Macaca fascicularis: one gene and its partner. The protein of the gene in region 2 purifies or fractionates together with the protein of the main gene of each other region. This does not show direct contact. Links are inferred from orthologs where the notes say so. Each region holds a gene or a part of one and is shown on either strand. Other genes may lie near its edges.

Region 1 (3,648 bases), on a different chromosome or scaffold from region 2:
GGGTTTGGTTTGTGCCATTACTGCTCAAGCTGCACGTGCTGAATGTGAACGTCACACCATCAGGGCACTGAACTGTGGTCATTCCTCCATCTCCATTGGCTGTACGGCTTCCATAGTTCCTCAAGCGCACAGCATATTTAACATTTTCCTTCATTATAAAGATGTAAAACATGTTTACATTTATTCACAATGTACAGAGGATATACAAAAAGAACTCTAGCAGTAAAATAGGCAAATATACTGAAATTTCTTATCATATTTACAGATGATACAAGTTTTTAATGAATCAAACATGATGACAGCTAATATTTACTGAATGCCTGTTGCATAAAAGCAACTGTCCTAAGTACTTTATGGAATTCAATTAATCCTTAAAATGGCTTCATGAGGTAAGTATCATTATTATCCCTATTTTACAGATGAGGAATCTGAGGTTCAGAGAAGTTAAGTAATTTGTTCTAAGTCACACAGCTAGTAAGTGATGGAACTAGGTCTGAACACAACCAATGTAACTAGTGCCTGCTCGTAATTTTACTGCTAGAATATTAGCCATAATAATTTTTCTTTTTTTTTTTTTCTGAGACAGGATCTTGCTCTGTCACCCAGCTGGGAGTGCAGTGGTGCAATCCTGGCTCAATGTGGCCTCCTCTTCCTGGGCTCAAGCAATTCTCCCACTGGTGCGTTCCATCACACTCAGCCAATTTTTTAAGGTGTTTCTGTAGAGATAAGGTCTGACTATACTGCCCAGTCTGGCCTCAAACTCCCAAGCTCAAGTGATCCTCCCTCCCTGGTGTCTCAAAAGTGCTGAGATTACAGGTGTGAGCTACTGTGCCCAGCAATACGAGATTTTAATTGCATAAGCTGATACTTTTCCTTGACTAGTTTAACTTTTAAAATAATTTTAGATGTGAGAAAAAAATAAGGGTGACTCTGCTATATTTTTAAGAAAATCTCAGAGATAGAAATTTATAGGCAAACAGACATGAGAAAAAAAAACCCACAGGAAAAAAGCTGTCCAAAATATAATGCACTGTACTTTGAAAATGTGAGCTATAGAAACTAATGCTTTATGAACCATGATATAAATTTCACAATAAAAGCTTTTTGGTTTTTCAGTATCTAAATTCTTCCTGATGAAATCTCTCATGTACCGATCTTATCCAAAATTTTGTCCTATAATGAAATTTATTTCAGTTGAATTCAGAAATACTTTAATGTTACTTTAACATTTATAATTACTTTGATGTGGTAAAATTTCTCTATTTTGCCAAATATTGTTAGAAAATAGGCTGGGTGTGGTGGCTCACGCCTGTAATCCCAGAACTCTGGGAGGTTGACGGGGGTGGATCACTTGAGGGCAGGAGTTCGAGACCAGCCTGGTCAACACAGCGAAGCCCCTCTCTACTAAAAATACAAAATTAACTGGGTATGGTGGCACGTGGCTGTAATCCCAGCTACTCGGGAGGCTGATGCAGGAGAATCATTTAAATCCAGGACGTGGAGGTTGCAGTGAGCCAAGATCATGCCACTGCACTCCAGCCTGGGTGACAGAGTGAGACTCCATCTCAAAAAAAAAAAAAAAAAAAGAACAAAAGCAAAACAAAACAACAAAACAACAAACAATAAGAGAAGAAAAGACAGGGCTAATGCTTATTTTTCATACTGTGCTAGACACTGAGGCAGGTGTTTTATTTCTATTATTTAATCTCAAGAATACTACAATGCAGGTATTATTCTTTCCAATCTACAGATAAGTCTCAAAGTGGTTAAATAATGAACTCAGTGTCTTAAAGCTAGTATGTTGGAACAGCAGGTATCCAGAGTTTAATCTGTTTGACTACAAAGCTTCCTACTACTCCAGACTTTAAGAAACATTATACAAAAATATAATATAATGTGGTACAACATCAGGTACATAGTAGGTACTCCATAAATATCTGAAGTACCTACCATATAAAGGATAACTTACGAATAGCTGTATCTAACAAACAAAATTCATGGAATACTCTTCACTATTTTAACTACATAATAATTCTTCTTATTCACAATAGAAACATACAGTTGAAACTACCTTTAAAGGAACCACTTTGTCAAGTCTGATTTCAGCTATATCACTGGGTGAGTCATCTGTTGTGTAAGTTCCTTTCACTAATTCCAGAGATGTCCATCTGTGGGAATGAGTTGAATCTCCAGCATGTTCACTCTAAAAAAAAAAAGGAAACAAAAAAATCAAGTTAGAGATAGAGATAAACTTGCTATTTACTAGGCAATGATTTACATGCTACCCCTTTCTGTCCTATTTTAATAAAACTCCGGTACTTTAAGTAATTTTAGAGAATGGATTAGAAAGATATAGCTGAATTAGTACTCTATGACATCTGAACATTGTGTTTCTTGAAAAATTACAATATAAAAAAAAAACTACTCAAGACTTGTCATCAGGGACTTAGCTAAATAAATTTTAGTCTTTAATTCCACTTTAAATCTTTCTCTTTCTGAAAGTACAAAAAATATAAGCAGTAGTGATCCAAGGTGGAAAGATGGAACACAAGCAATGAGGTAAAATCATTATCTTTCAGTTTCTTTTCTTTCTTTCTTTTTTTGAGACAGGGTCTCACTCTGCTGCCCAGGCTTGAGTGCAGTGGCATGATTATGGTTCACTGTAGCCTCAACCTCCCGGGCTCAAGTGATCCTCCCACCTCAGCCTCCAGAGTAGCTGGGATTACAGGCGTGCACCACCACACTCAGCTAATATTTGTATTTTTCATAGAGATGGGGTTTTGTCATGCTGCCTAGGCTGGTCTCAAACTCCTGTGCTCAAGTCATCCACCTGCCTCAGCATCTCAAAGTGCTGAGATTACAGGTGTGAGCCACTGTGGCCAGCCTTTTTCAGTTTCTTTAGTGTCATTCATCTGTAATTGATCTAGTAAACCCCTGAAGGTATGGACCCATCATACTATGACAATGGTAAATCCTGATACACAACCCACTAATCAGGATAAATGCTGAAAGGGTGATACTTACATCATCAACCAAGACCTCTAATTCATATTCATGAATTCCACCTCCTCCATAGACAGAGAAACCAACTACAACTATTCCAGGTTTGTCTACTGAAAAACAGATTGCATCAGGGGACCCGTTCCCAGTGTTCCAGCTTCTGCCCTGACTTGTTTTTGTAAATCGGTTAGCACTAGCTTTTACAGAGTGAAGAGAATTAAGTCCATCAACCTGTGGACAACAAAAGCAACTGCATCAGTAGTTTGTACACCTTTAACAAAACCATCCAAAGGTTTCTAAGAAGTCTAATAAAATAAGCTTTATTTAATAAGTGGGTATAAGCATTTCTAAACGTATGTTCTACTGAGAGATTAACTCACAATAAAACCAGATTTTATCATTCTAAATTCACAAATCAGTGTCACTTGACAGTATTTTCTTCCTTCAGCCATATGAAACTATATTTTCCACTTAATTTATAACGTTAGAAGTACAAGCTTGTCTTATCAGTCATAATGTATGAATAAATCACTAGACTTTGAAAAGAGATGCTAAAAATGTCATCGAAATTCTATAGATCAACAGTTTTCAAACTATGCGACATAGAGCTCTAGATATTCTGCAGAGAAAGGTATGCAAGGAAGAGGT
Region 2 (3,169 bases):
CCTCCCCCCTTCTTTGAGCCCCTCTCAAAGCCTAACTCAAAACGAAATCCCATAGTTTTTTCTTTGTCACAAATATAATAGGTTTGAAGTAACCATGACCTTTCAACCAGGTGGGCTTGCCCTGGGCCTCCTAAAACCTGAACCACTGCAGGACCCCCAGCTGCCTCCCACCTGCACGCCTCACCACAGCTCTCCTGCCCCAGGAGCTTTTGCCCGGCACCCACAGCCCCGCATGCTCCGCCTGGCCTCCCCCGGCCCCCGACAGCCCCATGGCATCTCGTGGGCTTCCCGCACTGTGAGTCCAGGCTTGGCTCCAGTCATTTGTCCATCCCATGTGGGCACAGGGGCTCCCTGGGATTCGACCCCTCCTGCCTTAGGGGCCTCCAGCTCCTGGCAAAGGGCGGTAGGCAGGAAGTACCCAGGCTGTCCTGTGCAAGCCCAGGAAGAACCACCTTGGCACGGAAGAAACACAAGAAACTCAGATCCAGGGGCTCCAACCCATAGAGCAGCCTGGGTTCCCTCCACACCGGGCTGGGTTGGGGGAAGCTGGCTGGGGCGGCGAGTGGTCGGGCCTCCCTCCGCCAGGACGGGCTTGAGCCTGTCGCATGCTGTGAAGTGTGTTTCCGAGCGGGCGCTGGCACTTCAGGTCGGGCTGCAGCCAGGTGTCCTGCTCACTGAGACTGTGGCTCCCTGCCCCACACTCGGGTTCCGCATGGAGACTTGGTGGTTCTGGGCGTTTCTCCAGAAGGGGCTGGGGAGGAGTCCAGGACTGTGGGACTGGGAGCTGGTGGGCTCTTTGGACGTCCGGGACTCTCCATGCGGAGTGGGCAGGTGGTAGTGGAAGGAACCTTTGTGTGCTTCGTGTGTGGGGGGGTGGTGCCGGGAGGGGCAGGGGCCACGGGACCCCAGGGCACGCTGGGGCCTCCGCAGGGAAGTGCTCACCATTGGTGCAGACCACACCAGCGTCTCTCTCGTGCCTGCAGTTGCTCTTCAGCCAGCCCAGGGACTTGCAGTCGGCCAGCGAGGCCTCGGTTCCCATGCACTGGACCTCGTCCAGCATGATGGGGCCTGATCCTGTGGACACAGCAGATGGCAGGGCTAGGGGTGTGATGACTGCACCTAGGAGTCCCACAGCGAGACTCAGCCCTTTGTTCCGCGCCCCAGCCGTGCGGGTCCGTCTGCGTACAGGTCCTTCACCGGCGAACCACGGTGGATATTCCAGCAAGGGCTGGGTTTGTGATTGCAACGTCAGGCCATAAACTTAGCCTTCATGCTTACAAAGCTTACTGGCTCCTGCAGCAACATCACGTTCATGTACAGTAATTGCGTGCCTGTCCCTGCAACATCAGGCGCACATACTGTATTTGTGTGACTATCCCTGCTGCAAAATAGTTGGTGGATTGTTTCTCTTTTTTTTCCAGAATTGCAACTGCTGTGTTAGTGGAAATCTTCCTGCATACAGACTTTTCTTTTGAGGGGAAATTGTTTCAAGAGGATAAACTCCTGGAGTGGAGTTTCTGGGCCGGAGGGAACAAGCCCAGCCCAGCTCTTGAACCTGCCCAAGCACCTGCCACCGTCACCGGCCAAGTGTGGGTGACGCAGTCCCACCGGAACTTGATCCACAGGGCTTCAGCGCCATCAAAAGTGTTTGCTCTTAGGCCGGGTGTGGTCATCCCAGCACTTCGGGAGGCTGAGGCGGGCGGATCACTTGACACCAGAAGTTCAAGATCAACCTGGCCAACATGGTGAAACCCCTTCTCTACTAAAAAATACAAAAGTCAGCCGGGCATGGTGGCAAGTACCTGCAATCCCAGCTACTCAGAAGGCTGAGGCAGGAGAATCGCTTGAACTCAGGAGGCCGAGGTTGCAGTGAGCCGGGATCGTGCCACTACACTCCAGCCTGGGTGACAGAGCAAGACTCCGTTTAAAAAAAAAAATTGTTTGTTTGCTCTTGCTAAATTAATAGTAATCCAATTTGCATGTCTTTGAAACCTGACTGTCTCATCTTCGGGAATTTGCCCTGCCTGGGAGCTGGCTGTGCTGTGGGTCTCGGCCTTGGAGGACGGGGACAGCAGGCCCTACCTTGCCCGAAGGCAGCTCTGCCCAGAGCCTGGGTGGCGTTCTCAAAGCCCAGGGCCCGGCAGACGACGCTGGCATCAGTCAGGTCCCACAGGTTGTCACACACAGTGCCCCACTGGCCTCTGTAGAAGATCTCCACGCGGCCCTGGTTGGTGGCGCCCCCATCGGCCAGCCGCATGTCACCATCGTTCATGCCTGCAGGCAGAGACGAGCGAGGGCCAGGCTGGGGCCTGCGGTACCCACCGCCCGCACCTCCAGGACCCATGCTGTCCTGGGTCTCCCCTGCTGAGCTTCTTTTCCAGGGTTTCAAGGTCCCCTGGCCTCTCCATGAGGGAGGAGTGGAAGATACATACAGCCCCCTGCCCCACGGAGGCTAAACTCGCCTTTCCTTGTTTTAGGGGTCTCAGCCCTTCACTCCATAGACAGAACAGGGGCAGAGAAGCCCCAGGTTCTCAAGCACTGGGAATGGAGGTGGCAAGACCCCGGGGGAAGGATCGTGGGGGAATGGAGGCCCTGTGCTGACCCGCCCGAGGGTGTCTGCAGTTTGGGGGTGCTGGCCTGTGGGGGCGCAGGCCTAGGGACCCCTGGGAGCACAGACGGAATGTTTCCAGGGCAGAGAATGGGATTCCCACTCCACACGTCCTTCTGGGACTCAGCCTGCCGACACTCCAGCCCCTATAGGAGCTGACAGAGCCGGGCAGGAGCTGGGTGCCTGAATCTAGCTGGGGGCACATCTGGCTTCCGTGGGGCCCCCAGGATGAGCGTGAGCCTCCAGGGGCTCACAGTGCAAAGGATGTGAGGAAAAGCAGCCAGGACCCTCTGGAAGATTGACCTGCGTCCGAGGCCGTTGACTTCACCACAGCCCCGGTGACTGCTGGTTTGACCAGCTCCTCTGGTTCCCTCTGGACAGAATGGAGGACTCCTTAGTGTCCTCTCTATAACCTGCATCTCACCTGAGCCCAGGTGAGCCCCCTGGAACCTCCAAGCCACCATCACTTGGGATACCTGGTGCCGCAGGCAGGAGAGAAGACCTGGCTAACCGCTGGGCCCCGGGCCCCAGGCAGAGCATCTCCTTGAAGCTCTGCGCAGA

What was found. The genes of interacting proteins can lie anywhere in the genome.
Region 1: the proteins of LGALS3BP (region 2) and MYCBP2 purify together in Homo sapiens (co-immunoprecipitation; 3 studies listed by BioGRID and IntAct, counting the BioPlex papers as one, with this or other methods). This does not show direct contact. The link is inferred for Macaca fascicularis from reciprocal best matches to the Homo sapiens genes LGALS3BP and MYCBP2.

Annotation. Positions count from the first base shown.
Region 1 is NC_088391.1:68,187,803-68,191,450, forward strand, and holds part of MYCBP2 (E3 ubiquitin-protein ligase MYCBP2), read right to left. Parts: intron 3,232-3,648; coding exon 3,025-3,231; intron 2,204-3,024; coding exon 2,072-2,203; intron 149-2,071; coding exon 1-148. UniProt on the Homo sapiens protein: Atypical E3 ubiquitin-protein ligase which specifically mediates ubiquitination of threonine and serine residues on target proteins, instead of ubiquitinating lysine residues.
Region 2 is NC_088390.1:85,379,912-85,383,080, forward strand, and holds part of LGALS3BP (galectin-3-binding protein), read right to left. Parts: intron 2,275-3,169; coding exon 2,083-2,274; intron 1,075-2,082; coding exon 943-1,074; intron 1-942.